Rattus norvegicus: one gene and its partners. The protein of the gene in region 4 purifies or fractionates together with the protein of the main gene of each other region. This does not show direct contact. Links are inferred from orthologs where the notes say so. Each region holds a gene or a part of one and is shown on either strand. Other genes may lie near its edges. The genes, in order: Cdc27, Ppp1r3f, Troap, Dyrk1a, Kiaa0232, Lzts3 and Anapc4.

Region 1 (3,976 bases), on a different chromosome or scaffold from region 4:
AAAGTCATCAAGGCATATATAAAGCAGCAGTATACTTAAGTTAGAAGGTCTAAAAGGAAGAGAATGGCAAGTCAGTCACCTGAGGGGCAGGTTCAACATGAGCTGTGAATGTAGAGGGCTCCACCCCCCAGAACCACAGAGACAGGACAAGGACCTGAAGAGAACAGTGGCTATTTTTCTTAGAAACGGACTGCTGTTTAAAAGCTATGATCCAAATGATGAAAACAAACCCCAATTTTTGGAACAATGAAGACAATATTCTAGAGATTACTAGTAATTACTTAATAATTATCGATACAGTTATCCATTGGTCTCTGCAGATGCCCCAATCAATCTCCTGGTCATGCTATTTTAATAGCTTTCTGGCCTTGAGACTCCATTCATAGTCTATTTTTTCATGAGTTTGTTTGATAGTTCTGGTATGTTTGATAGTTTGATACGTATCCTTTGTGAAGTGTTATTGTATACGTATATAATACACTTTTAATAATCTTGACAACATTATTTCCCAATGACAGGTTTCAGAAATGAGGACTGGAAATGCTGCCATAAGCACACCATACACATACATCTGGAGGGATTCACTGCTATCTGTAGATGCACAGCCATAAAGACTGGATCTTTAATACACATATACACTAATTGATACATATTTAAAAAGCTTTAATATTTTCCTCTGCTTAATTTTACTTTGAGAAAGATCATCACATATCATAGGCTTTGACTTTTAACTCCTGGCTGAGGAACTTCTGACCTTCCTGCTTCTACCTCCCAAGTGGTAAAATTTCATGCATTTGAAACCTTGCCCAGTTTACAGAGTGCTGAGAATCAAGCCTGATCTTTGTGCATGCTCTACAAGCATTCTACCAACTGAGCTACATTCTCACCCTTTTAATATTTAATTCAAAAATGTTATAGATGTATTTTTTTTACTTCATTTTTTTGAAAACAGAACGCCAATCTGTCACACTGATTTGAGAGGATGCTGTTTAAATTAACTTACATTACTAGTAATAGGGTTCACCAAAGATCATTAATATATTAGAATACACTTTAAAATATCTTGTGTGACTTACCTTGGGGTTAATGGGCTAAGAGCAGTTGGTCCTCCTAATAAACTTCGACCAGTTTTTGGTTTATTTTGAACCTGTTTAGATAATATGGAAGGACCAGTTCCAAGGGGGACGTTATCTGGTGAAATTACAGCTGAATCAATGTAAGACACGGAGGAATCTGTATTCAAGGAGTACTTTGAATTGGAAGATTCTAAGTTCAGTCTGTTTAATTCCTGAAACAGAAATTTTCTACCATGTCACTTATGATACACTGCTAAGGCCCAATCACCCTTGCGGGTGTTCAGAATACTTGAGCATCAGAAGGAAAGCACTTACAATCGTGTCTTGGGGAGTTTCTGTAAGGACTGTCTCAGGCTGTCTGTGAGATAAACTGTGGTTAGATACTAGAGCTGTACACGTGTTGGGAAGACAACTGCTAAAATTCTGTAGAGATGTTAATTTAAATGTTTGGTCAGGATCTGGCTTCTCACCTGTGAAGACCAAAAGACAAAACAAAACAAAAAACTTGCCTCTGAGGGGTAATTTCTTTTCAAGTATACATAATTAGGTACAAATAAAGCCTTGGAGTTTCAAAATTCTCCTGCCCACTTATGTTATCAATCTTACCTCCCAAACGCCCAATCATTAACTTATTGTGGAAGTTAACCCTTACATTAAAGATTACATTTGGGAAATAAACTAAATTACAAGTTTTAAATATCATAACTCAGGGCCAGCATGAAGGTACAGCGGGGAAGGTGTCTGCTGCCCAACCTGAAAACCTCTGCATGAAGTAAGATGCGTTTTGAGATAGGGTTGCCTGCAAACTCCCCTAGTGGTGAAGCTGAATGCGGCTGAAGCTGGCAGTAAACTTAGATCTTGCTGCCAGAAGGCAGTGGCAAACACCTTTAGTCCTGGCCCTTGGAAGGCAGGGGCAGATGATCTCTGTGAGCTCAAGGTCAGACTGGTCTACAGAGTTCCAGAGAAAACCCGAACTCAAAAAATACAATATAAAACAAACAGAAAGGAGAGAGAGAGAGAGAGAGAGAGAGAGAGAGAGAGAGAGAGAGAGAGAGAGAGAGAGAGAAATAGAAAAGGGGAAGAGGAAGAAGACCGCTCCCGCCACCGTCTCCATGAGCTTACCTATTTCACATAACGATTCAAAGGGAGACCAGAGGAAAGGATTTAAACTAAGGCTCTTTTGGTAACATTCTGATCCTTTGGCAAGCCGATCTGTCTTGCTGTGGAGAGAAACAATGGATTAAATAAACTATAAGCCCTAAAGCTTTTCTTATAATTTTTGATATAAAAAACCAGGTAAATCTTATAAAAATTCTCACAGCACTCTTTGATGCGTCCCTAAATTATAATTTTCTAGAAGCAATAGAAGTCATAAATAACAAATCAATCCATGGGTATTAACACCAATTAATTAATATTAATCCAAGGTTAAGGAAAAGAAAAATACAGGGGCTGTGGCACAAGCACAAGGACCTGAGTTCGAACCTCAGCATCCATGCCAAAAAAAAAAAGCTGAGTGTGACCATAAATGAGTGTGACCTCTGTGCTATGGGAGGTGGAGACAGGAGGATGGATGCGATCTGGTGACTGCCAGGCTCAGTGAGTGAGTGAGTGAGTGAGTGGAGAAGGAGAGAGGGAGAGAGAGAAAGGCAGAGACAGAGACAGAGACTGGACCCTGATTAAAAGAAGGTAGAATGACGTAGAAAGATCAACCTCTCCCCTGGCCTTACTGCAAACATGCAACGCACAGAAAATACATTCACTAAAGAAATATTAAAGGGAAAAATCCAATGAAATCTCAATGTTTGAGGATTGATCTAAACTCCTGTGATTAGCCTTCCTATATTTGCTTTTGGCAATTCCAAAATATACATATTTTTCTATCTAATCTAATTATACTTTAAAAGAATTTCTACATTTTTCCTTAAGATTTTTATTTTTTCAACCTCCTTCCCCCATCACTCCCTGTAAATCATTTATTGCCCTCAAACATCTACTTTTTTTGAGAAGCCACCATATAAGAAAAAAATGACTCTTTTTGCTGTCAACTCTCCTCTAGGTGCGTTCTGTTACTACTCCTTCCCGCCCAGCATGGAGGACGGAACACAGGCTGCTGCCTTTATTCTTAACCAGTTAAAACTAGCATTCCCTCACCTGATCAAAATACTGCCCAAACCTTATTACAATACCTTTTGACAATAATAAAAATTTTAACTACTGTTTCTTCCTTCTCCATCACAAAATATGGTGGGGGCTGTGAGTTAGTCCCTTTAATATTCCCAGGACCAAGTCCTTACCGTCTTTAGGTATAATGGGAGAAGAACCTCAAGCATCCCTCGAATGAATGACAACAATAATCATAGCTGGACGACAGCACCCAGCTTCATTTCTTTCTTTTTTTTTTTTTTTTTTTTGAGACAGGTTTTCTCTGTGTAGCCTTAGCTGTCTTAGAACTCAAAGATTCATCTGTTTCTGCCTCCCAAGTGCTGGGACGAAAGGCGTACACCATTTTTCAACTCATTCTATCTTTCTTTATTCTAGTTCACAACTGTGGCATGAATGATTTGACATCACCTGAAAACCCCCTATTTAACCAGATAATTTATTCTACACAAAAAGTCATATGTATCCCTGAATGGCCCAGAGCTCACCACAAATACCAAGCTGGCCTTAAACTCTGCCTCCTGCGTGCTGAGATTAAAGGGATACACCACCATACCTGGCTACTTTTTTTTTTTTTCTTTTCTTTTTTTCGGGGCTGGGAATTGAACCCAGGACCTTGCACTTCCTAGGCAAGCGCTCTACCACTGAGCCAAATCCCCAACCCCCCCTTTTTTTTTTTTTAACAGCAGTTCTTTTTCTTTCTTTCTTTGTAGGCTTTAATCCCTTTTTTCATAATA
Region 2 (4,680 bases), on a different chromosome or scaffold from region 4:
GGGGCTACACAAGTGCACACATATTGTGAGCCCTGCACTGGGGATCAGTACAGTCCACTTCTGTACATCTCAATAAAACCTGAAGCATACATAACAGGTACAAGGGGACAAAGGGAAGAACTAAGAGCACCAACAGTGAAACGTGGGATTTGTTTTTAAAGTAGCAGCCCTAACACTGCGTCCCTGCTTGCTATTTACTACCTGAGTGACTCTGAGCAAGCTGGAGCACCTCTCCAAGCTCCCCATTTCCCATTAACTAGGACTCACTCTAGCGCCTGCAACCAACAGCACATTCAGCTGGCCTCAAGAGGAGAATGTCCCTACCACTCCTACAGGAGAGCAGGAAATGCTGACCACCAGACCTTTTACGGCTACAATTATGCCTCAGTTACCTTGCCTACGGGTGCTGCGTCCAATTCAACCACACAATGGGAAAACCATTCCTCTCTGAGAAATGAGAAAACTGAGACAAGACCAGACAACAAAGCTGAGTTTGGGAAAGGAATACATACAAAGACTATGCGTGAGCATCTAAACATTAACGATCATTGACACCACTATAGCACAAGGTTTATGGCACAACTCTGAACTAGGCTCAACATAGTGCTTTTACTCATCCTGTGCAGCACTTCCATAATTGCCTGTTTTACAGAAGAGGATAGTTACTGACAGCATGATGCGGTTAAGAATTGGATACGGTCACACTAGAAAGTGGCAGGCTTGGGGTTTGAACCCAGGTAATCTAATAGGAGAATCCAAGTTCTTAATGCTTCAAGGTCCATCCACTAAGAGCTAAACCTTTCAGAACTACTCACAGTCTAAGCCCTAAGCACAACCAGCAGGTCCCATAGCACCCTGCTCCATCATGCAGCTTCCAAGGGCCAAAAGAGCAACCTCCCACTCCCATTTCTCATAGGAACAGGAAGATGTATGCACTTCGGAGGGAATCTAACTGACCCCGGGCATCAAGCCTGGCTGTTGCCCTTGACAAACTTATAGCCCTGGTAAAGACCTAGAAAAGCATTATTTCAGTCTCCTGGGTTATAAATGGTCTTTCTCCCAGCCCCTCAAGTTTATAAGAGGTGTGCAAATTTTAAAAAGAGAGATGAGCTTCAAGTCCACTTCTCATCTGTTCCAGCCTCCGCCAAAACTAATGTTTTATGTGAGAATATAGCCTCACTCCTTAAACTCCGCAGGAGGCCTCTCTGACCACCAGAGGAACAGTAAAAAGGTGTGCACAGACTTCAAGACCAGAAATGGTTGTAACTAAAAAGCCAAGTACCACCACTTCCTCAACCAGCTTCTCTACCTCTGTAACTCTGGCTTCCTGCTGGGTCAGATAGGAATCAGATTCCACTCCCCACACCGGGACCCTTAGTCCACACCATCGCACCCGCATGTTCTCTCCACTCCAGCACACTGGCTGACATTCACACCGAATCCATAACCAGGTCAGGACCTCGGAACTTGCTGTTCCCACTACCTACATCTTCCTTCCATGTATGCGCACCACTGCTCCGTACCCCTCTGGACTCAAGTTTAAATGCCACCTCAGAAAGCGTCCTACCTGGTCCAAATTCTACCAACTCGCTCTTCCATAACTCTTCCTTATCACCGTCTGGGACTCTTCACGAGAGCTCACCCTCAACACGTCTACAGCAGCCACTCCCTCCAGAGCCTTACAGTATTTTCCTCTCAGCACTAACCTTAGCCCTATTTATCTTATCTGCTTGTTTGCTTTTGCATTCTGTTTCCCAGAGGAGCCTTGCGGGATGGTTGGGGACAGGGAAGGTGTCTGTCTTGTTCAGGGCCTTATAGTGGAACTCACTAAATGGATGATACCCCAGTATTTAAAACAGTGCCTAGCACATGTTTGGTCTCCACTACTCTTTGACCGACTGCACCCTCCTGCCTGTTCTGGAGAGCAGGCCTGGGGGAGGGGGGACTTCTGGGATGGGAGGCTTGTCCTCCATTCTACATCCAGCCCTGTGTTGGTGGAGGTGGCGCTGGCAGACATTACCTGCGCCTCACCGGCTTCATGCAGCTCTTCAGCTGCCTGGCCTCAGCCTCCACAGGACCCTGGCACTCAGGCTGTGGCTCCAGCTGCTGCAGCTGCTGCTGCTGGGGCAGCCCTTCAGCATCAGTGGGTGTGGGAGCGGGTGCGATCCGGAGCAGGACAGTGTAGTTGCGGCCATGGTTGTTGGCCCAGAAAGTGCCCTCGGGGGTCTCATAGCGCACCACGAAGTCAAGGCGCGCCCCATCGCCCGCACCCTCAGCAAAGGGCAGCTGGAAGGCAAAGCGGTCAGTGCGGCCACCGTCGTCGGGTGAGGAGGCAGACACCTGGCCAGGGCCCAGGCCTAGACCCGGATCCAGGAGGGGATCTCCTGCTCCTGTTCCTCCCACTCCTGCCCCAGGCGGGCTGCGTGGGACATAGCGCGCTGGGTGGTCGCAGAAGGTAGCCCAGCCGTCGTGTGAGGCCCGCACGTGCACCGCCTTCTCGAAGGAGCGGTTCAGCACGCGCACCAACCCGCGCACTACTGGCGGGCGCCCCCCAGGCACCCACACCCCGGAACCCCCGGGAACCGCTCCAGGAGGCGGCAGCAGCGCCTCCAACTCCACCATCACGCGCCCCAACCGCTCCAGACGGCCCGGCGCGGGCGGCAACGAAAATGTGGGCACCAGATAAAACCCCCCGCCAGCGGGAACGGGGCACAGCGGAGAGGGATCGGGAAAAGCCTCCTCTTCCTCCTCCCCTTCATCCCCATCCTCGCCATCATCATCCTCATCAGCCCCGCCACCGCCGCCATCTTGCCCGGTCGCCGCCGCCATCTTGCCCGCCCCGGGCCCGCCCCACGGCCGGTAGCGGCGTAGCTGCGCCAGAGGCAGCCCCAGGGCCTCGTCAGCGAACAGCACCCTCCGCGGGGCCACCGCCGCCTCAGTTGAGGCGCGGGGCTCTCCCGCAACCGGCGACGGGGGCGCGGGATGCCGCAGCGGTGGCTCCACAGGGGCCGTGCGCGCCATATCGGCGGCGGCGGCGGCGGCGGCGGCGGCGGCACCGACGGCACCGGCGGTGGGACCGGCGGGGGCAGGGCCTGAAAAGGCGGGCAGCCAATGAAAACGCCAGGACGGGGGGGTGGGGCTCCAGTGGAGCGTAGGCGGTGAGATAAAGACAGGTACAGCCAACAACCAATGGACAGCCACGCGGGAGTGACGTAAGGTGACTGACAAGCAGGAGAAGCTAGCAACCAATGAAGACGCCCGAGCGTGGGCGGTGTGGGAGGCGGGATGATCACGGAATCAATGGAGAGGCCTGAGTGGGGTTAATGCGGGACCGAAGATGTAGCTAGCAGAAGTATGACAGTTAGTAGGAAAGTCTGAGTACGAGCGGCACGGTGGGCAGTGGGAAGATGAAATGGCTACAGGCGATGGGGGCAGCGGGGAGCGAACCCAGAGGTCCAAAAACTGGGAGATCCGCAGGTTGTGTAGGCGGTGAGACGTAAGAAAGATAAAAAGAACAGCCAATGGAGAACTGCACGCGAATGATGTAGAGACAGAGTGACGATAATGGTTGCAACGAGCCAATGGGGAGTCCTGTGAGCGCACACTATGGCTTCAAGAGGCGGTAACAGGGTGGATCTAGCCAATACAGAGACTGAACAGAGTCTGGAAGGCAGTGTGTGAGCAGACACGGAGGCGGGGCTGTAGCGGGGGTGGGGGGAGCACTAGGGCATGTGAGGAGTGAAGGTGGGAGTGAGAAAGAGATGGAGAGCCAGGGTGAAGGCTGTGATATCTCAAGGGACAGTGCCAGTATAGGATTAACCAAAGCCGAAGCTAGACAAATGTAGCCAAAAGGATACTGTGGAGGCAAGATAGGAAAGCAAGCCCAAAGATGGTAGTGTAGGTGCTGCGAAGGAAAGCATGAGTAGCCAATAAATAGGTTAAAGTAGAAGAAGGTGCATAGGCTGAGCCTAAGCCTGAGTGATTGAGCACAGAATCAAAATTCAGTCAAACAATAAGATCGGGCCTTTGGGGGGATGGATTGACCTTTCCCTATTCTTCCATGACTCCCCATGGCCCCACGAATTCCCAGAGTCCCTAAAAACCCAGACTGCGCGGTTGTTGTGAGACCAAAGCAAAACAGTTCTCCTATCAGTTACTGGGTGTGTCCCGTCGGCCCCACACCACCACACACACCTCCCAGCCTTTTCGTGGCCAGTGTAACTAGCCAAGAACATTCTTGACTGTCCCTTAAAGTCCCGAGTTGAGCATTGAGATTCTTCAGGACTTGGCACCACTGCATGAATCGATCACAAAATAGAAAATAGAACCCTTTTTTGAAGAACTAGCTTTTTCTAACTCACACTTAGCACACATTTACTCTGACAGTATGTCATCACCAGTTGATCAGCTAATGTAAGTTCAAATCAGAGTCCTCCCCTTCTTGCTCATTTTGACACTTTTCACCCCACAGTGGCTTTCTTTCTCCCCCCTCCCTACCTCCTCTGATCAGAGTGCTGTCCCATCTATCTCTTTCATCTAGTGAATTCTTTTCATTCCTCATCTAAGGTCGCACCTCCTGTGGGAATGGCATAGATTTTGTCAGCATGTTCATTCACACATTCCCCACTCCTGTTTATTAACTTATTAGGACTTACTGACTGCTAAATGCCAGGTTCAGGG
Region 3 (4,776 bases), on a different chromosome or scaffold from region 4:
TGGTGCAGGCCTTCACCCTTGCTTTGCTCCTGTACCCACACACACTCACCAGGCTGCACCGGGGTCTTCAGGAGCAGTCTCGAGGCCTGGCTTGCTGAGGTCCTGCTGTCAGTACAGGATCCATCCCTGAGTGTCAAGCAAGGGCTGGGAATTAGCGAAGGGCTCTGCCAGCACCATCTCAGTAGCTTCTCCCAGTACTGGTGCTATCCTCATTTGGCCAATGGATACGGAAGCCAAGCTACAGACAGGTTAAGGTAAGCCTGCACGGCTAGCAGTGGTAAGCGTCGGGAATTAAACTCAAAAGCTATTTACTGTAGCCAATCAAAGAGCCCTTCGTGTACCTCCAAGTTCCTCCACGTCTGAGATAAGGCCCAGCCATCAGAGTCTGAACCCCATTGCCCCACCCAGGGACATGTTTGCCCATCCCCTCTGGGGTCCAAAGGGAATCTACTCTCTCTGTACCTGCTACCGCCACAGGTCTCTCTTCTGAGCTCCTGTAAACTGGGGCGAGCGGAGGAATGAAAGGAGGAACCTGCACGTGGGTTCTGATCCAGGACAAGACAGGAGGACAGAGTCAGAAGCAGACCCCGAGCTTGACACAAACCTCACCCCATCTCTCCCAACAGCCCAGGGCTTCATCTTGAGATGTTGTCCCAAGGCCTACTCTGTTCCAGGAAGAAGCTTCTAGAAGGACTGAGAGTCAGCCCCTCAAGAGTACTCACCAGAGCCTCTGACCTCTGTGAGGAAAAAGTGCGGTCTCGGAGCCCTGGGCCCTCCAGCCTTGAGAAGCAGGAAGCCCTGGCGGGATCCGCTTGGTGGGCGCGGATTCTGGGAGCCAGGTATGCGGAAGACCGTGCACTCTGGACCGCCGACAGAGGCTATCAGCAAGACTCAGAATTTACCCCTTAGCCCACCCTAGCCTGGTCTCATATCCGTCTCATTACCTGGCCCCTCTGGATGTGGGTGCCTCCCTTTCTCTCACGCACTAGCACTCTCTGAGCCAGACTGGACCGGGACTCCAGGGGACAGCTCTTCACTCCCTCACCTGACAGGATGGTGGCCAGGGCTGCAGGGTCAGCAACAAACTCTATAGCCCCTGAGGCCTCTGAAAGGGAAGAGACAGGATTAGAGGAGACAGGAATAGAGGACACTGAGGGCTAGCAACAGTGAGCAAAAGAAACATCAGAGCCAGGATATGTGGTGCACACAGCTACAATCCCAGAATTTAGGACACTGAGGCAAGAGAACCAGGTGTTCAAGGCCAGCCGCCAGCTCATAGAGAGCCCAGAGCCATCTTGAGAGACAGAAAGAGATCATTGGGTTGAACCTAAGCTCACCAATGTTTAAAGAATTTCATGTAAGGCTTTGCTCTGGACAGTGGGGTATAAAATAAAACAAAGGTTTTGCCATACAGAGCATATCACCGGGGGCTGGAGGGAGGCCGTGAGGACTAGGAACACACCGTTACTCTTCTTGCATAGGGCTGACTGGTCTTAAGCTCTCAGCATCTATGTCAGGTGGCTGGCCTGGAACTCCAGCTCTAAGACAATCCAATGCCTGTCCTCTACGAGCATCACATACACCCACACATACACCATTAAAAATAACCTCTTCTTAGGGGCTAGAGGGATGGCTTATTGGTTAAGAGCCATTGTTCTTCTGAGAGACCTGGGTTATATTTCCGGCACCCACAGCCAATTATAGCTCACAGCCGGCTATAACTTTAGCTCCAGGGATTCTGATGTCCTCTTCTGAACTCCATGGGCACTGCATGGACTCACACAGAATAAAAATAAATCTTTAAATATAAAACTATTATTGAAAGGAAGAAGTTAAAGCTGAAGTTTGGGCAGATTATAAAGACTCAGTTTAGCTGAGCGATTGATGGTGACTGTCCTGATTGGGGTTGCTGAAAAGGCCCAGAAGATGTGACTGATGGTTGATTTTTTTTTTTTTTCTTTTGAGACAGGATATCACTGTGTAGGCCTGGAACTCACTATATAGACAAGGCCTCCGATTCACAGAGACCACCTGCCTCTGCCCCCTAAAGTGCTGGGATTAGAGGCATGAGTCACCATGCCAGGCAAAAGGTGGCACTTAGCTGTAATGGCTTCATAGAGCACAGAGCTTCCGGGACAAGGCCCAGGACTCTTACAGTATGCAAGAGACCAGAAGGCATACAAAACCCCCACTTTGTGTCTCTCATCCTTGCTCCGCCAAGTAGGCTGTCCCCCGGCCTCCAACAGGTACCTGTCTGGGGATGGGTGAGCCCCACATTTGATCCCCCAGAGCTAGGCTTGAGTTCCTCCAAAGGGTTCCGCGGCTGAGTGATCCTCAGTCTTTGTGATTTTTCTGTCTGGTGCAGGGCTTTCGATCTGAGGCCTGCCGTGTCAGTGAGGGGACGTTGAGTACGGTGCAGTGGTTTCTTCGCTGATCTCTGAGGGGAGAGGGAAAAAGTTGGGGTTCAGCGCGGAGGTGGGGGTTCAGTGCAGACGGGAGCTGCCTCCTTGTGGTTACTCTTTTCACCCATCATGCCCCTCTTACCCTTGGATCTTGGTTCTCCTGGTCCAGAGAGCCCGACTTGGCTGAGGAAAAATCCGAGCATCTTTGAGAGAGTACTGGAATTTTGCTAGGGTTGGGAGATACACCTCGGAGGTGCGGGTCCTTACTGGTTTGGAGGGTAGTCATGGCGGCTATAATTGAGACGAGAGAAAAAGGCAGACAGGACTGAGGAACGAAGCAAATCATTCTCAGGCTATGGGTGCTGATATCCCTGATTTTTCTCCCTTGGTCCTAATCCATGTGCCTAGAAGCCCACACCGGCAGCAAGGCCTCTCTCCTGGCGACTCCTCCAGAAACCCAAGACTGCTATCTCGCCCCAAACTGCTCTCCTCCCCAGGAACCTCGGCAGGACTCCCCTAAGATCCCCGTGCCGCACCATTCCAGGAGCTCCTCGGGGTCACCTCTACTTTCTCAGGTTTTTTTCGCCGATTTTCTGGATTTCTACTGCTGCTGCTGCTGCTGCTGCTGCTGCTGCTGAGGCTTCCCCGGTTTGTAAAATACGCCAAGCTTGTGATTGGCTAGTTCCCGCTGACGCGAAGGCGCGTGACGTCACACGCAGCCAACCAATCCGCAGGCTTCGAGGGCGGGGCCAGAGAGGGACAAGTCGCCGAAACGTTTTCTGGATGGGAAAACAACTGACCAGCTCTTCAGCCAATCCGAAAACGGAGCGCGAGTGGCCGGATTGGGGGACAGCCAGGGAGGATGCTGTTCTGAAGCCCGGGAAGGCGACTCTGGGCTGCAACGGGCATTACAGTACTCTCGCGAGATCAGGAGCCAGCCGAGCGAGGTCTGTCCTCTCTTGAAGGCCGCGGAATTGTGGGAAAGAATGGCCATCGAGCACACTATTGACCAGACTCTGAACGCAGTGCAAGGCCGGGTTTTGGGAAACACTTCAGGAAGCATGGGCACTTCTTAAGGGGGATGAGGAACCTGATGGGCGAGAGGGCTGGAGGTAACCGAACTGAACCCATCAAGAACGAGGAGCCAAGAAATCATTTGTCCACTCGGACCCCACAACCTGGTGGGGTGTGGTCAGACCCAGGGTGGCTGGAGTTTTGTTATTCAGAATTGAAGGGGCTCCTCGAGTGTGGGGAGATCTCTGCATCTTCAGGTTGCCTTCCACTTGTCTGGAGGGCTCACCCGCTACTCATTGGCAGATGATGGATATGAGAATAGACAAATGTCTCATTCCACCCGCGCACACACAAAAGCTCTTTCTATCCCAGACTGGCCTCAAACTCGCAGCTTCCTGCTTCAGCTTCCATTGTGCAAGGATTGCACACCCGCTGCATAGACATCCGTTTGGAGTTTAAAGGACACTGATAAGCAAGCCAGGAACAAGTGCTTCCGGATCTCCCCTTCCATACACCATCTCTTTTCACACCTACGGACTTCATATCTTAGAGCATCTACTCAGCTGTTTAGCCAGACAAAGCGTAGCACGCAAAGACAGCCAGCTTGGTCTAGAAAGCCATTGTCTTCCAAATAGTCTCCTTGCCCAACCCCTCCAGTCTTTTTATTTTAAATACATATGATTTTAGTTGAAAAATATTTAAAATTATATATATAATATATAATATTATATATTTTTTTTAATGTAGGGATGCTCTATTTGCATGTACAGCTACATGCCAGAAGAGGGCACCAGATCCCATTGCAGATGGTCTTGAGCCACCATGTGGTTGCTGGGAATTGAACTCAGGACCTCTAGAAGAGCAGCCAGTGTTCGTAACCTCTGAACCTCTGAACCGTCTCACCAGAAATAATTTTTATGCAATATATTCTGATAAACAGTTTCCTCTTCCCTCTCCACCCACACTTTCCTTAGAAAACAAACACCAGAACAGAAAAAGAAAAAAAAAGCACAAGAAACACACAAAACACAAAGCCTATAAAAACACAAAGTCGGAAACCATAATATACAAGCAAAATACCAGTTAGACAAATAATGCCAACCAAAGCCATATGAGACAAGGAGGCTACAAAAACATTGGCTACCAGTCTGGCGTGAACCTGTGGGTGCTGCCACAGCCTCTGTGAGCTCATAGGTGCATCAGTCCTGCTGTGTCTGAGAGACGATGTACTTTGGAGTCATCCAACCTCTCTGTCTCTTAACATCTTTCTGCCTTCTCTTCTGAATAGCTCCTTGAGCCCTCAGGGGAGCCCCAGTCTTTCTGTCCACAGAAATCCATTTCTTATAGTAGAGAAATTTTC
Region 4 (3,842 bases):
AAATAAAAGCAGACCACTCTCACAAAGCAGTGCCTCCCGCCTGTCTAGTGTGTCCCACTGTTAGAACATGACATTTAATGGCAAAGAAGTGGGAATCAAGGACAGTGACACAGTTCTGAGGCCTTAGATTACTGCAGCTTCATTAAAAAAGGAAAAAAAAAAGTAGTTCTACTATTTATTAGGTATAAATAAGTCTTGGGTTTGTTGTCCAGTATCACAAAATAAGCTTGTTACCTAACTAAAAAAGGATCCTGTAACAAAAAGGCAGTTAGTTCTCTGTTCCCACTCAGTGTCCAGAATCACATTAGTGTCTACCTAAGTTTCTTACCTTCTGGAGGTCGCTCAACAGACCCTGTGCAGACTAACTGAGAAGAGAAGGCTGTGGGTTAGAAACTGCCTGAGCGTGCATGGCAGGGGTTCCAGGCTGTGTACAGCAAAGTGACTACTGTGTCCCCCAGGGAACAGAGTTAGGGAGGCAGCATTCAGCTCTGTCCTTCACCCTAACAGGCCAGAGCCTCAGGAGAAGTGCAGGGTTCCCACATGCTCTCAACACGGAGACAGTACCACATGGGAGCAGCAACTGAACATGATAACCACTCACGTCAAGAATCCATTTTAAAAACCAAATCATCTGTTAGACCTCCAATCTTTACTTTCAAAGACACTTGAAGCCGATGCCTCTCTGCCTCACACGGCTTTTCCCTTTACACAGGTCGCTAAATTGTGCCTGCTTGACCTAACAGACCTGAACTGCTTCACTGCACAGGAAGATTGCTTGTTTCTTTTTTACTGTTTACATTTTTTCCTTAAGTTAATTTTTAAAAAAGCATAGTAAAGACTCTGAGGACAAATTATTCAACTGTTTATCATACATAAGACCGCATGACTATAATACAAAGGGGGTCTTTTTTCATTTAACGTTACAATATACACAGCAAGTCCGGACTAGATCTTACAATCTGAACACAGGCATTTAGCCTCTCCATGCTGCTCATGTTTACAATGCACAGAAGTCCTGTAACCAAACTGTGTAGTAAAGCACACAAAACTGGACTGCAACATAACACAGTATGCAGAAGCACTGGATTCTGTGGTTTTCTTTATGTAAATATCGGTTTAAAAACTGCTTTCTTTTTTGGTGCTTGCTAAAATGTGGCAACCAGCACAGAAAGAAAAAAGAATGACCTGAGCCACGTGGTGTGGCCTGGGCTCCGCAGCCGCAGACGCTGATCCCTCCCAACAGTGCTGTGCTCAAGAGGCCTCTGTACGCAAACTCTCAGGAACTACCAAGTTCAAAACAATCCACAGGCGTGACATTTAATTACAAAATAAATATGGATTTCCTGATTAACACCCCAAGTGTCTGTGTTTATAGAAACGGGGCTCTCCGAGTCTCCACTGCACTCACAGAGCTTGGGCCTTTCTGTTGTCAAAGTTTACATTAAAAAAAAAAACCTCCTTTTGCTCAGGGAAAAAAAAAAGTGACCTAGTGAGCCACATGGAGTTAACCAATAAAAAGTAACGTGGCGTTCTGCTGAGTTGCTTCCAACAGGTTATCGGCAGAGGTAGATTACTGCTTCTCTCTAGGCTTCTTTTGATCCTGGACAGGGAAATTACTCTATCTTCATTCTCCCAATTCAACCGCCTCAGAGTATCACACCCTAAAATTGCTCAATTTAAATGTGAATACAGATTTAGCCACTGCCAGACTGTTACAGGAAGGCAGTAGTCTCCAGACACGGTGCCTCTTCGTGCCGCCTGCTCACTTCAGGTCACATTAGAGCTCTGCCTTCCTCCTGTTCCTACTGGGGACCTGCCGGGTCAGTCAAGGTCTCAAGTTCAAGTTTACAAGGAAGTTAATCAGGAAACAAGACCAACTGCTGGCTCCACAGCCTCTGGGTCCAGCATCCCTTTCCCTTCAGAAGCCTGAGCACATTCAGAATGTGACAGACAGGTGGTGTAATCTTGAATTAGATGTCAATCTATTCTGTCCAGTACACAGAGTGCTGTAAGTGGATTGGCTATGGAGTCAACAACAGTTCCAGTTTTGTTTAAGCAATAGTACAGCCATAATTTTCAACTGACATTTAAAAATGGTCTAGGTACACCTTGTGTCAAAGTGCAGAACGGCTACATTATTGGTTACAGACATCTATGTGCTATAAAAACAGCTTTGGTACAATAAATTATCAAAAAAGAAAATAAATTTTTGTAAAATTCACAGCATAATTGTGAGGCAAAAAAGCAGTCACATAAAATTCTGCATTTTAAAATGTTCAGGATGAACAGAAGACGTCTTTGTGCAGAAGAAATGGTGGAGACACCACGTGCCGAGAAAAAGCCAAAGAAAAGGTAAAAGCAGGAAGGGACACAGCTGTAGCTATTTCCGTCAAAGCAAACCACTACCTCTGTGGCCTTCAACCAAGAAGGGAGTCAGCTTTATGACACACGCAAAGTGACCTGGCAATACCTTACAATTAGTGGGTCACAAAAGTCTATTTTAAAAGAAAGGCCTCTTGAATTACCCATTCTCTGTGTTTTCAGCATTAAGGACTGTCTGCAAACGCATGTCCACAAGTGATTGCATCTGAAATGGTGGGCTCTTCTAACTCCGAGTCCAAATCCATAAGGCCAAAGGTTATCCCAAGGACCACCACTCAGACCTCCCCAGGACTGGCCACAAGCGACCGACCCGCTGATTGCTTCTCAGTGCGCCTTGGTAAGGCGAGCAGTCACGCTCCATCCCGTCGTCCTGTGGCCTCTCCGACAGGAGACCACAGGATCCCACGCAATGGCTGCTTTGCTCCTCAGTATGTTCAGACAGGAGAGTCCTGATCCCGCCACTTAGCATGCTTAGTGTGCCTTACAAACGCCAACACAATCGTCCCTTTCACACAGCTGAAGATGATGTTTGTGTGTGCTGGAGGTCCCTCTTCCTTACAGTACTGCATTTCCGTGCCCAAGTGTGTAGAGGACATAAAAACCCAAATCTCCCACCCCACCCCCAACCCAAAACGAAACAAAAGAAAACAGGGGAGAAGGGGAAAAAATAAAAATGAAAAAACCAAAACACCCTATGGGGCCCTTTATGCAAATTATGTGCAGTGCCTTTTTATTTTAAAATTAGTTGGCAAATGACCAAGACCAACAGCTGAACATTAACTTTTGTTGGATAGAAAGACAAAACCCACTGTGACCGGGAGATGGAAGTTAAATGGGGGAGGCAGAAAGAGGACACTCTGAGCGCTCCATGAAGATGGGTGGACATGGCTCTTAAAAACTTCATTGTCCCTTTGCAATCTTTTCAAGTTAAAAAAAAAAGTCAGCTTTGCCCTCTCGTAGCGGTTCAGTGTGTTAATCTCCTTCTGATTCAAGCAGCTTTGCACTTTTGTTTTTGGGAAAAAAACACCACTTCTATAAAAACACACAAGAAACAAACTCAAGTTTCAATGTAGTCACGAGCTAGCTACAGGACTCTGTTGCACACAAACTCCTGTCATGGGAGACTCTTCTCTATCAGCCCCTTGCCTCATCGTCAGATGTCCTTCAGTCATGTAATGTGCAGGACCTGTATTAGCAGAAAATTGGTATGTTGGATGTCCAGCTATGCCAGTCTCTTGGCGGGGATTGGAGTAGACGGTCAAATTAACGTCCATAGCTCCATTCTGTCCAAAGTCCAAGGTGTTAGCAGCCACTGGGCGGTTCTGATAGGCCTGATTGCCTTGATTACCAGTAGAGGAGGAAGATGTCGAGGAAGAAGTTGTTGAGGAAGACAGGGATGTCATGGAGTGGTGACTGTGGCCAACCTCCATAGAATCCTGGGTAGAGGAGCTATTTGTTGG
Region 5 (3,637 bases), on a different chromosome or scaffold from region 4:
GGAAGTTCAGTGACAGAGATGAAAGGAATGCTCTACCTGTCAATGAGGCCCCTGCTCAATCTCTGCTGGGTAACAGGCCGTCAAGCTTCCGTTCTGACTGCAGGGTAGGCTAGAAGTCTGTAGCATGGCTGTGCTCCTGTGGGCACCCAGACCTAGAGAGAGTTATTACAAGATACCTATAGGCACATATGACGTTTTCCTTCACTCTTGTTCAAACACTGACTGGTTGTTTATTGCTGTTGTATATACACACATTGTGCATGTTACTGTGTACTGTGTGAGTGCAGTACATTCTAGGCATGCATTCAGAAGTCAAAGGGAGGGGTTGGGGATTTAGCTCAGTGGTAGAGCGCCTGCCTAGCAAGCACAAGGCCCTGGGCTCGGTCCCCAGCTCCGAAAAAAAGAAAAGAAAAGAAAAAAAAAAAAAAAAAAAAAAAAAAGAAGTCAAAGGGAACTTTGTAGGCCATTCTCTCTCCACCTTTCTATGGATCCTGGGGATCAAACTCGATTCAGTAAGCACCTTTCCCACTAAGCCATCCTGCTGACTTCTGAGGACAGGGCCTATTGGGGATATGGACCAGTTGGCTGCCAAGCAGGCCCTACCTACTTGCTTTCCCAGCTCTGAGAGGCTAACTGCTCACAGGAGGAGGAGGGGATCTGGCTTCCTCTTGTTCTTCTCAGTTCAGAGGAAGCTGTTTATTCACTTTAAAGGATTGCTATGATAAATAAAAACAACAAACATTTTTGAAATTTTTATTTGGTGTTAACTCCACAAGAAAACAAAACAAAACGAAACAAAAAAAAATCAGTTACTCTGGTGTACGTGAAATCAGAACAATACAACCACGGGGGAAAAAAAAAATCAGCCCAGGAATGGAGCTGATAGTTCAGTGCTACGGATATGCAACGCGCTTCATACCACAGTGCGTTTCAGCGTTTGCCAACTTTTTTTTAATGCTTTTTGTGATCATCCATTCACAAAACTAAAACCACACTTTAATTCTGTACCAAAGCCTCTGAGCTTTAGCCACTTAACTACAAAAAGAAACCAAATACAGAATCTAGTTATCCCTTTGCCTTTGATGACCCACCGTGTCCCCTGTGGAGGGCCTCTCCCCACAGCCGAAGACGTAGGTGTCTTTGCCACCTGGAGCCTTTCCTGATGAACAATGGCTGTCCAGGTCACCCAAGCTCATGGCTGAGTATGAAATCCATTTGGTCATAGCAACAATTTCTAGGGTAATCGTGATGGCATTGATTTTAGGAATTTACAATTTCAATTCTTTTTGCCTTTGATGATAGGTTATATTTCAGTGCAGATGTTAATCAAATTTTAGGAAGCTCCAGAAGAAAAAATACATAAAACTTATCTGATACCTGTAAATAAATAAGAGCAACATGAAACCTTCCACATGCACACACGCACACACAAGCCACTGTAGAGTGTCAGAAGATGTGCTGTATGAAAACAAACCCTAAGGTGGTAAGATGCCCCAGCCAGCAAGCCAGGCTCCCATGATGAGGACGCACAGGACTACAGGGCCTGCACAGTCTCCATGGTGTTTCCTGTGTTCCTGAGAAACAGGCAACAAACTCAAGTACCACCAGCAAGGCCTGAGGGGCAGCTCCACTCCCAGCTAAGAAGCCACACACATGTCCAGTGCTGCTCCACTTACTGGAGAGGCCAGTTCAACTACTTCAGACCTCTCAGCCACTCCTGATGTTCTGGACATGCTGAATCCATGTCATAGACAAGGTGTTTTTAAAAACAACAAGCTGGTTAAAAGAGAAAAATAATTTTGGATGTTTAGGTTTTGCACAATTGGCCCTACTAGCACCTGTGGCAGTGCTGCAAGAGAGATTCAAGGTGATCAGCACACTTAATGTGACTGTGAGGCCTGCTGCCTGCCTGCTTCACCAAGTCACATGAGGCGATGATCAGAACAGCAATCACACAGGTCTGTGGGAAATTCCTTTGCCCACCCCAGCCCACCGCAAGCACAACTTGCCCAGAACATTCTCTCAAACACAAAATGAGATACAAGCTATACTACATCACAGCCACAGGAGCAGCTAGCTGCAGCAGCCGAAGATTTCTTTGGGGTAAGAGGTGTCCTTACTGCACATGTCAAATGTTTTTAAGTTCACTTGGAGACTTAAGTTCAGATAATAATTTGCAAGTAAGGTCCTCAACTATGCACTGGAGGGACAGTTCAGAGAACCACATTGTGCCTGCTGTAGACACACTGCAGTAGCAGAACTCATCTATCCACTACCCCGTGCCTCGAATCCTTGGCTTCTTCAGCTAGCAAGAAAGTCATAAGCCACAGTAACTTCCATAGTACTTTAGGGGAATCCTAAGAGAAAGCACAGTATTCTGTAAGTCTCTAAAGCACACCCTTGTGTTCCTACAGCAAGGTCCATGAGATCTTCTGAATGAGCCTGCAGATGAGTCACCATGCTTCCCTCCTCCTTCAGCAAGGCCCTGACCCACTGCAGGGGAGGACTGATCTCCTGGCTCAGAGAACAGAGCTAGAGTCTCTGGACGGTGGCGGTTGTCGCCACAGTGCTGACAAGGTGATGGCGACACAGCCGCCAGAGGGAGGCCTGCAGCTGCGATGCAGAAGCGGGACGCACTAGGACAAGCACATGCACACCCATTCCTCACTGGACAGCACAGTCTAGTCTACTTCAGAGAGCAAGAACTTAACAGCTTGGAAACAAATCTTCAACAGGACAGCTGTCCTCAACGCTAAAGTAAGCAAGAAGAGAAAGGGAATCACTGGTGCGGATCAGTTAATGGAAGAGGAAGCCTAAGTTACTGCTTTAGACTAACAGGCCTCACAGCGGGCAATCTCCCGTCAGAGCATGTGCAATGACTGCTACTACTCTGCAGGGTCACAGGTGTGTTCTGGAGAAGAGGTCCTCTCTGCTGGGGCCCACCCACTCTCCGCCGGCTTCGGAGCCCGTGTCGCCCGCGTCAGAGCTGGCACTGGAACACATCTTCCCGGGGAGGCCATTTGGTTTTGTCTCAGAGCCCCTCTCTCCTGTGCATCTTGCTTCATAAACAGAAGACACCTACAATTCAAGAAACAATTTTCAATACACCAAAAATCAGACAACTCCCCCCAAAGGCTCAGTCTACTCCCAGACAGAGAAGAAGAAGCAACCACTGACATATCCTATAGAAAGCTACAAAGACGCGAAGACGCACGGTCTCAGGGAACACCTTCTCCTTTGCCTTGAAGGGTCTAATCCTAATTCTGCACATCTAGAGTCACAGGAATCTATGTGGCTACACTAGGGTAAGACAAGGGGACTCCTTAACTCTCAACAAGTCTTTTGAGTACCTGGCTCAGGGTAGCCCGTGGAACTTCACACAGGCTCTCCTGGGTAAACAGACATGGTCATGTACAGGGGCGCACGGTTCCAGCAGACAAACAAACCAAAGGACAAAGCTTCAGACTGTAGACATGAGGACACTGGCTATGGGACACTCTGAACAGGGGCAGAGCGCTCCAGAAGGTGGCACTCCTGAGCAAAGGCTGGTGCTGTGCATAGCACTGTCAGCATCACCAGGTGCAGCAGAGAGCATCTTCTTGTGTTTAAGGGAAGGCTGGCATCTGGGTCCTCAATG
Region 6 (4,756 bases), on a different chromosome or scaffold from region 4:
GATCGCTGGAGCCCAGAAGTTTGATGCAACAATGAGAACCAGATGAGATTCCATCTCAAAAAAGAAAAAGAAAGGGGTTGGGGATTTAGCTCAGTGGTAGAGCGCTTGCTTAGCAAACGCAAGGCCCTGGGTTCGGTCCCCAGCTCCGAAAAAAAGAAAAAGAAAAAAAAAGAAAAAGAAAGAAAGAAAGAAAGAAAGAAAGAAAGAAAGAACAAAAACAAAGTGAGAAGGAGGAGGGAAGGAAGGAAGGGAGAAAGGAAGGAAGGAAAAGAACACAAGGATAGTTTCCAGTGCTGAAAAGAAATATTGCAGAAGGTAAAAGTGGAGTTGAAGAACATGGCCTGAATTTAGCAGCTGAGAACATCATTGATGTCTATATCAAAATGGTTTCAGAAAAGCCGTGTAAAGCAAAAGCAGATGGAGCAAAGGGATAACAAGGCGCTGGGAAGAGACAGCAGAGGCCTCTGTTAAAAGAGGACGGAGGAAGCCTTCACTGAAGAAAGTTTGGAATCAAAGGCCTTCCTTTTTTTTTTATTTTTTTATTTTAAAAGTAACCCTGAAAGCTGGATGTGGTGGCGTGCAGGCAAAGATGGATCAAGAGTTCGAAACCCACCTTGAGTGTAAACTGAGTTGGAATCCAGGATAGGCTGCATGAGATTGTGCCTCCAAAAACATACAGAGAAACATAGAATAACTAATCAACAGGCTGGAGAGATGGCTTGATAAGACTGCCTGCTGCAAGAGCATGGTTACCTGAGTCTGAATCCCCAGAAGCCACCTAAGAAGCCAGTTATGCTAGGGTCTGTAGCCACAGCGCTATGAAGGGCAGAGACCGGAGGACCTCAGAGAGTTGCCTGCTGCCAGCCAAGCTCTAGGTTCAGTGAGAGACTCTCAAGGGGATGAAGCAGAGAGAGCTTGAGCAGGGCGCCCCGATCCCTCTCTGTGTGCACACACATACATTTCACCAAAAAACAAACAGCATTTTGATAGGAATTAAAAACTAGATAGAAACACTGAAGGCCGGCACCCCCAGTGAGGCAAGGCAGACGCTAGCAAAGGAGCTGCACCAGAGGCTGAGGCGGAAGGAACAGCCTCAGGAGAGAGCATGCTAGCTGAGTGACAGGGGTAGCATGGTGAGTGTTTGGGGAGATCTCTATAAACTGCAACGTGCACAGTCTTTCTGAGCTCCAAGGAGTGAGCATCAGAGTTGGGAGGTGGTCATTCTGCTTCACACTCCCTCTACAGGGGCTCCTTCTCAGATTCTTAGGGTCCTAGACATTGCCCTGAGCCTCCCTTCTCAGGCTCTACGTGAGGATGGCTTTGTAGTAAACCCACAGGCAATTCCCATAGAGTTCCTTGCCATAGTTCTAAACTGTCATACTCAACACCTTATAACTGCTCCCTGCCCCTTGCCTCTTCCAACCCTGGGATCCTGCAAATTCTTTTCTCAAAACCCTGGTAGAGTGGGAAGGACAAGGAGTGGAGTACATTCCCTGGCAAATAGGAACTGAGGGGAGAGGAAGGGCTGAGCTCCCTCTGTAGGACAGTCTCCTCATGGACTGGCCTAGGTAGCTGTGATCTGCAAGGGCATCACTCTGGGATGATAACCTGTTGCCTGAGCCTGCCTCTGCTTCTGTTCTGTCAACCCTCAGTGCCTGTGACATTACAATATTAGTAGTCAAAGGGACCAAATGGACTCTGGCTAAACCCTTCCGTGAGCAGGTTGAGTGCCTTAGAATTAGTGCAGCATCATCTCCAGGTGTAAATCACAGCGCAGCTATGGAACCTCATGCAGACTGTTCCACCTCAGACTCTCACACCTACCTGACAGCGATTTTAAGGAGGAAACGGATTATGTGTAAAACGCCTGGCATTCTTTCTGGCACCCACAGTCAAGTAGAGCTTGTCTCTGAGGCCTTTCTTGATATTCATCCTGTATTTCTCCTGAAAACGGCTCTTCGCTCCACACATGGCCTCTTCTCAGCTCTCTGCCCAACCTATATTCTTCTGGAACCAGTCCAAATACCCCTCAGCATAGCATCCTTGATACCCAAGGGGTCTTGGAGCACTTAGCTCCGGATGCCCCAGGGAGATTTCACTGTGAGGCTTCTCCACTGGAAGTCTGTGTTACCCCAGGGCGCAAACGATATCTTTAGCGGGTCTCTGGACCCTGGCATTAAGAAAATGCAAGGCCAATGCTTGTGGGAATGTTGGTTATGACCATGTAAATAGGAAATGAATTCAGACATAGAGACAAGGAAAAGCTTCCAGGAAGGATTAAGGGAAAGGATTCAGGGAGCAGAACTTCTTGGTTGGGATGTGTGAGGAGAGATTCATCTTCCCTTGGAAACGTGGGCACCTGCAGGGGAAGAGGCCCATCCCCTAGATCCTGACTCTGATGAAGCCAGTGCTTCAGTGCTGAAGGTACCGACAGCACACCCCCACCCACCCGCTCACACAGGAGCCTGCCTCAGCTGTGCATGTGTGTGTCGGAGTCGGGGTTGGGGGGGGGGTCGCTATTCACTAATACATAAACCCCAGCCACAAATTCTCTGCAAAGGTGTCACAGAGGTCTCTGCGGTTGGAGAAATTCCACCCATACCTCCTTCGGTTCTCCACCAACGCGCGTGGCCCCCGGGGGGGGGCGGGGTGCAGAGAGAAGAGGTGACATAATCCGGGCCGCACCCCCTCCGGCCGCCACCTCCCCCCCACCCCCTGCGCCGGTTGAAGCGTCCATGACATCATCGGCCTCATCCCCCAGCTCCCGGTACCCTAGCAGCGGGACGCGCCCCCTCCCCAGCTTCCCACCCGCCAGAAGCAGAAAGCGCTGCAACGGACATGGTGACCAGAGGAAGAACCTAGAGGGGCACCCCGGCAGGCCTGTATCACTTACTCACTGCCTCAGAGTCCGGCGCAGAAGCTCAGACACCGGCGCTAGCTGTCCCGCTCTCTGGCGCAGCCCGAAGCCCGCCCCACAGGGCGCGCAGCGCGGCCCGGCTCTGCTCTTGGCCCCTCCCGCCCCGCGCCCGGCCCGCCCACCAGCGGCTGCGGCAAACGCGGGCCCGCCCTCCGGCCACGCCCCCGGGACCCGCCAATCCTGGACGTGGGTGGGACTCGGTGCCTTAACCCCTTTGGTCGCTGAGCGCTGGCCCGCCTGCCCAGCAGGCTGGGTAGCAGACACTCGGCCTCAGTCCCCGTTAACCACAGTACCAAATTCTTAGGGTCAGCCCCCAATTTCTGTCCTCCAACAAACCCAACAAGTCCCTACTCTCTTTGAACTCCATATCTGAATGTATGAGCCCTGTGGTTTACGGACAACCCGGCTTGGACTCTAGATTCAACTCCTGCACCAGCTATTCCCGGTGCAGCAGACTTCCTAATTCCTTCAAATCTGGAGCTGGACAGATGGCTCAGTGGTCAAGAGCACTGGCTGTTCTTCCACAGAACCCGGGTTTAATTCGCAGCATCCATATGCTGACTAGTTCCGAAGGATCCGACATCTTCTGCCCTCCACGGGTGCTGCACAAATATATGGTCCAAACAACCATAAACGGAATTAAAAAAAAAAATTAAGGGGGAAAATAAAGCAAAAAACCCTGAAGAGTCTTCAAACCTACAAGATGTGGGAGTGTGAAGGCACCTTTAGCTATGATCTCGCTGGAAGCAAGAGCCAATAAATTGACCAATTTAAAACTTGTCGCTACAGGAAATTTGTACTTTATACCTTGTGCCCCATGCCTGCTGTAAAACTAACAATCCCCACCCCAGAAAGAGATTGGGTTAAAGACTTCATCTTGACTCAGATCCACACCTTGGCAAGTGCATGTGGCATGCACTACAGGGGTTGCCAACCATCCAGAAAAACTTCCTGAAGGAAGCAGTCAGTCTTCAACTGTGACCTTGGTCTGATCAGTTTGAGAGAGCAAGGTAGGCCCACGCTTCAGCCTTAGCAAATGGCTGGCGGTTTTTTTTTTTTTTTCTTTTTTCTTTTCTTTTTTTTTCGGAGTTGGGGACTGAACCCAGGGCCTTGCACTTGTTAAGCAAGCGCTCTATCACTGAGCTAAATCCCCAACCCCAGCTGGCGGTTTTAATACCTGAAGAGTTTAGCCTTCCTATGACATAGGATAGATTTTCAATTTTTTTTTTTTTGCTTTTTTCCACAACTGTTTTTATTTTCTGTAGTGATTTTAATAAATTCTGTTTCCAGTTCTAATGATTGCCTTTAAATGTATTAAGTAAATGCCTTTAATCCCAGAACTTGAAAGGCAGAGGCAGGATCTCTGAGATGGAGGTCAGCCTGGTCTACAGATTGAGTTCCAGGATAGCCAGGGTTACACAGAGAAATACTGTCTCAAAAAACAAAAACCAAACCAACCAACCAAACAACCCCCCCCAAAAAAAACCAACCAAAGAATCCAAATGAAGTATATTAAATAAACTAAGAACTTATTTTGACAAATCATTTATATATTCTAGAAATCTGTGAACGGAGTGTCATGGAACTTGTGGTGATCACCCTGGTTTGTGGCCACCATATCACAAGATAAATTCCTTTCCTTAAGTCAGAGAGGTAATGTGTCAGCCTTGCTTTAAACAGGTAAGTCCAGCTTTGCTACTCTTTTAAGTGAGAAGAGAGAATGGGATATGGGAAGAATCCTCGAGACATTTTCTTTCTCCTCTTCCTCTTCTTTTCTGAGGCAGGTCTCTCCACAGAGCCCTGGCTGTATGGGACCTCACCATCTAGACCGGGTTTGCC
Region 7 (3,976 bases), on a different chromosome or scaffold from region 4:
TAGATCAGGCTGGCCTTAAACTCAGAAATCTGCCTGCTTTTGCCTGTTAAGTTCTAGGATTGAAAGCATTTGGTACCACCACCCAATTTTAGGGTGTCTGTCAAGTTCTAATATTAAAATTTTGATAGCTCTTTAATATCAGATCACGAATAGAAAGACCCACACCTAGAATTGCTACTATAAAACTTCAAAATGTCAAGGAGTAAAACTAATATTTGACAGAAATGAAATTAAAAAAATAGACTTCAAAGCTATCAGAAAGCAAGTAACTGTCTACCAGCAATAAAAAAAACTCCTAAATGTAATGGAGCAATGCTTTGAAAGTTATAGGAGAGGGCTGGAGAGGTGGCTCAGTGGTTAAGAGCACTGACTGCTTTTCCAGAGGTCCTGAGTTCGATTCCCAGCAACCACATGGTGGCTCACAACCATCTGTAATGGGGATCCAAGGCCCTCTTCTGGTGTGCCTAAATACAGGGACAGTGTACCCACATGTATGAAATAAATAAATAAATCTTTTTTTAAAAAGAAAGTTATAGGAGAAATTATTTCTTCAGATCCTAAGTCCCACAAAACACATCAATTTTATACGAGGTTAAGAAAGAGTTGGGGAAGATTACCTTCTACATCTTTCTGAGTAAGTTACTTTAGGATATGCTCTCCTGAAAGCCCTGGTCTAATGCAGGAAAGCAAGATAGACAGTGTTTTTGCAAACAGCTGGACAGGGAAGCAAAAGTACGAAGCACAGAAGCACAGGTGCAGGGTGAAGGGACGAGCTGAGGGGCAGAGGAATGCTAGGATGGTGCACGACCTTCAGAAAGAGAAGCCAGGGAAGGGTGTGCTAGAGATGATGGACAGTGCAAGAAAACAAGAGAGTCTGAGCGGGGGGATGTGATTGCAGCATTTAAAAGGCTGAAAGTTCAGGGAATACAGGGAGTTCCTTACACGATACAACACAATGTAGTAAGACAAGGCCAACAGTGTTCAGGAAAATCAGGACAAACAAAAAAATAAAATAAAATTGGTAGGTACTAGAAATAAGCCTTTAGGAGAATAAATTAAAGGAAGTAAACAGAAAGAGACAAGGAGTAAGAATAAGGATAAAGATGGAGAGAGCAGAAAATAAAGTTTTTCGTTAAATGATCTCTGTGCTACTGACATATTCTGATAAAAAATTCCTAAGGGAATCAGGTCAACTTGGTAGGTTTTTATTTAAGGAAAAAGTAAATATTCTCATATCCACATTCTTGGTTAGCACATTACTTACTGGAGAAGTTCATTTGCTTTAAGGATGAAAGAACCCACAGCAGTAATAGCATCTAAAGAAAAAACAGACAAAAAAGTGTGACTTGAGGAAGTGAACTGTGTCTAGTGCAGTCTATGGAGAAAGTCAATCAATACCTTCAATGCTTGAAGCATCCAGTCCTAGAGGTTCATATTTCTGTTTCCATGAGGCCATCCCTTTAAGTTCACTCAAGTGATAGAGTAAAGACTCTGAGCCACTAGCAAAGGAGCAGAGATAAGAACCATTACTATCACCAAGGTGGGAGTCAACAATCACTTGCTGATTTCAGAAATAAAACCAAACAAATCTTAAGTCTTTCCACAGAAAAGAATTATTTACAAAAACTATTTCTAAGAACTAGAAGAATCATTTATTCATCCATCATGGCAACTGAGATGAAAACACAAGACTACCAGATTAGATTCTCTATCATGATCAGACCACGCACAGTGCTTGTCAAGCTCTCTACCCACCGAGCTGCACCTCTAGTCCTAATCCTGGCACTTTACCACAGGGACATTTGTTCAACAACAGACAGGTCTGTTTATAGGACAGGCTCTTACTATGTAGCCCTGACCAGCCTAGAACTATGCAAACCAGCCTGGCCTCCAGCTCATAGAAATCCAGTTGCTTCTACATCCTGAGTGCTGGGAATAAAGACATACGACACTAACCTATCCTCACAAATATTCTTAAGCTCTGACTTCATGTCAGACACCAGCTGCTGAGGACACAGTGGAAAGGTGTCCATCATGGTAAGGTCCCTGAAGCATTTAATGTAATGAGAGAGTTAGTCATAAGCAGTCGTGCACAGATGAAATGGAAGACCCTGACCTATCCCAGGAGCTCCTAAAGGCTTCTCTGAAGGAGCAAAGAGCTAAAGAACTCGAGTAAAGAGAAAGAAGGTGAGAGTGCTCCAAAAAGAAAGGAAGGTTATAGAAGTCCTTGGGTAGAGCTGGGGATGTAACTCAATAGTAGAGTTTGTTTACCAACATGCCCAAGACCCTAGATTCCATTCCCAGCATCATAATTAATAAATGAACAAATCAGAAGAAAGATATTTATTTTTAAAAAGGTGGTGGGAGAAAAAAAATTCCCTGAGTGGGAGATACAGTGTCAAGCTTGGAAAACCAAAAGGTACTTAGCATGGGTAAAGCAGAAGCAGATGTGCTCAAGGCCTTGAAAAGGTTTTGCTTTTAAGAACAAAGCAAACATACTGCACGTTTTTAAGTAACATTACACTCCGTGGGGAAGGTGAAGTAAACAGACACAAAACAGAAGGTATTCAGGGAGCTCAAGGGACTGTAGGTATTTCTAAAAACCCAGCATAAGAGTTGTTAAAATACAAAGCGAACAGTCAGCAGCCACTTACAAACTGCTTCTCCCAAGCCGCTGTGCACAGAGGCAGCAGGAGACCTGGAACACCCAGGAGCAAGCCGTGGCCTAACACTGAGGAACACTGGCCAGTCACATAACTAACTTTGGTGTGAAACGAAGATGACAAGAACAAACTGCCAAATATTAAATGAAAAAATATGTAAAGTACTAGCAGCTATGTGGCTTATTTTATAGTCAAATAGGAAACAAGCCCAAATGCTTAAAAAGTCCAGCCTGGCTAAAAGAGTTAGAAAACCATTTTCACACACACACAAAATGGTCATTACTGATTCAATCTTGGGTATGCCAAGTTCCCTGAAATGCCAATGCAAATAGCTAGAAAAGGCTTGAAAAGACAATATCAAACAGTGGAGAGAAGGAAGCAGAAATATGACCAATGCCATGAATGTATGAATGCAGTATCAAAACATTCTACATCACTTCCGTACCTCTGTAAGTGACTTATAACCAGTTTTTGTATACTGGAATATGATGACTCTATAGACTGGCCAAGCTTTTTTAAGCCCTAATTAAGAGAAGAAAATACATTTAGCATGTAACTATGATACTATATGTCATTCCCAAAAAAGAAAACTATTAAAAATATGTTCACAGCCATTTAAGCATAGAGACTTTAACAGCACCTTCACTGTTAACTGGTTCATCAGGAGAGTCTGAAGTTCAGCACTACAAGAAAAAGGAAGTGTTTTAGTAATGTCTCCATTCAAACTCTAAACGTGCCATTTAGATCCTAAATTTCAAAGTGCAAACAGGATTTTGGAACAAAATAAACATGAAGAAGTAGTATCAGTCAAAATGAGGATTGTGTTTTATCCAAAAGAGAATTGTCCCAGTAAAATCCAGAAATAAATGAACTATACACTTCTGACCACGAAGAAGGGAAGTAGTTACCTGGGTAGTTATTTACCCAAGGTATCAGAAGAAAAAGACTCTCTTGGCTACATAAAAGTTCTGGAACTTTTATATATCCAACACACACACACACACACACACACACACACACACACACACACTCATCACATTTATATGAAAAATTCAGAGAAAAATCCCAAAAAGTCACATACTTTTTTGGGGGTAGAGGTCTTCTACCGGAATTTTATACTTTATCTTTACAAAGGAAATAATTACTGTCAAGAGAAGATAGGAAGGAAAGTCCCATTGAGATCACCTAGGTGCACTCACCTGGCTTTCCCCCACAACAGTAAGTGCATGAACTCATCCTGTACCGATGTGGTTGTAGTTTTTTCCTAGACCGAACAAAACACAACAAAACAAAAAACCAAAACCAAAACAAAA

Evidence for each region.
Region 1: the proteins of Dyrk1a (region 4) and Cdc27 purify together in Homo sapiens (affinity purification with mass spectrometry; 3 studies listed by BioGRID and IntAct, with this or other methods). This does not show direct contact. The link is inferred for Rattus norvegicus from reciprocal best matches to the Homo sapiens genes DYRK1A and CDC27.
Region 2: the proteins of Dyrk1a (region 4) and Ppp1r3f purify together in Homo sapiens (affinity purification with mass spectrometry; 3 studies listed by BioGRID and IntAct, with this or other methods). This does not show direct contact. The link is inferred for Rattus norvegicus from reciprocal best matches to the Homo sapiens genes DYRK1A and PPP1R3F.
Region 3: the proteins of Dyrk1a (region 4) and Troap purify together in Homo sapiens (affinity purification with mass spectrometry; 6 studies listed by BioGRID and IntAct, with this or other methods). This does not show direct contact. The link is inferred for Rattus norvegicus from reciprocal best matches to the Homo sapiens genes DYRK1A and TROAP.
Region 5: the proteins of Dyrk1a (region 4) and Kiaa0232 purify together in Homo sapiens (affinity purification with mass spectrometry; 3 studies listed by BioGRID and IntAct, with this or other methods). This does not show direct contact. The link is inferred for Rattus norvegicus from reciprocal best matches to the Homo sapiens genes DYRK1A and KIAA0232.
Region 6: the proteins of Dyrk1a (region 4) and Lzts3 purify together in Homo sapiens (affinity purification with mass spectrometry; 3 studies listed by BioGRID and IntAct, with this or other methods). This does not show direct contact. The link is inferred for Rattus norvegicus from reciprocal best matches to the Homo sapiens genes DYRK1A and LZTS3.
Region 7: the proteins of Dyrk1a (region 4) and Anapc4 purify together in Homo sapiens (affinity purification with mass spectrometry; 3 studies listed by BioGRID and IntAct, with this or other methods). This does not show direct contact. The link is inferred for Rattus norvegicus from reciprocal best matches to the Homo sapiens genes DYRK1A and ANAPC4.

The regions. Positions count from the first base shown.
Region 1 is NC_086028.1:89,925,350-89,929,325, forward strand, and holds part of Cdc27 (cell division cycle protein 27 homolog), read right to left. Parts: intron 2,297-3,976; coding exon 2,199-2,296; intron 1,547-2,198; coding exon 1,392-1,546; intron 1,289-1,391; coding exon 1,077-1,288; intron 1-1,076. UniProt on the Homo sapiens protein: Component of the anaphase promoting complex/cyclosome (APC/C), a cell cycle-regulated E3 ubiquitin ligase that controls progression through mitosis and the G1 phase of the cell cycle.
Region 2 is NC_086039.1:17,599,637-17,604,316, reverse strand, and holds the start of Ppp1r3f (protein phosphatase 1 regulatory subunit 3F), read right to left. Parts: upstream 3,088-4,680; 5' UTR 3,022-3,087; coding exon 2,021-3,021; intron 2,014-2,020; exon of another isoform or gene 1,600-2,013; coding exon of another isoform or gene 1,568-1,599; intron 1-1,567.
Region 3 is NC_086025.1:132,111,749-132,116,524, reverse strand, and holds the start of Troap (tastin), read right to left. Parts: upstream 3,038-4,776; 5' UTR 2,939-3,037; intron 2,694-2,938; 5' UTR 2,689-2,693; coding exon 2,545-2,688; intron 2,438-2,544; coding exon 2,251-2,437; intron 1,106-2,250; coding exon 945-1,105; intron 861-944; coding exon 723-860; intron 640-722; exon of another isoform or gene 546-639; coding exon 463-545; intron 127-462; coding exon 50-126; intron 1-49. UniProt on the Homo sapiens protein: Could be involved with bystin and trophinin in a cell adhesion molecule complex that mediates an initial attachment of the blastocyst to uterine epithelial cells at the time of the embryo implantation.
Region 4 is NC_086029.1:47,476,031-47,479,872, reverse strand, and holds the end of Dyrk1a (dual specificity tyrosine-phosphorylation-regulated kinase 1A), read right to left. Parts: coding exon 3,456-3,842; 3' UTR 840-3,455; downstream 1-839. UniProt on the Homo sapiens protein: Dual-specificity kinase which possesses both serine/threonine and tyrosine kinase activities. Exhibits a substrate preference for proline at position P+1 and arginine at position P-3.
Region 5 is NC_086032.1:78,381,115-78,384,751, reverse strand, and holds the end of Kiaa0232 (uncharacterized protein KIAA0232 homolog), read right to left. Parts: intron 3,079-3,637; coding exon 2,899-3,078; 3' UTR 747-2,898; downstream 1-746.
Region 6 is NC_086021.1:138,310,595-138,315,350, forward strand, and holds the start of Lzts3 (leucine zipper putative tumor suppressor 3), read right to left. Parts: upstream 3,018-4,756; 5' UTR 2,894-3,017; intron 2,680-2,893; exon of another isoform or gene 1,875-2,679; coding exon of another isoform or gene 1,825-1,874; intron 1-1,824. UniProt on the Homo sapiens protein: May be involved in promoting the maturation of dendritic spines, probably via regulating SIPA1L1 levels at the postsynaptic density of synapses.
Region 7 is NC_086032.1:62,353,430-62,357,405, forward strand, and holds part of Anapc4 (anaphase-promoting complex subunit 4), read right to left. Parts: intron 3,928-3,976; coding exon 3,863-3,927; intron 3,347-3,862; coding exon 3,304-3,346; intron 3,186-3,303; coding exon 3,109-3,185; intron 1,500-3,108; coding exon 1,399-1,499; intron 1,317-1,398; coding exon 1,265-1,316; intron 1-1,264. UniProt on the Homo sapiens protein: Component of the anaphase promoting complex/cyclosome (APC/C), a cell cycle-regulated E3 ubiquitin ligase that controls progression through mitosis and the G1 phase of the cell cycle.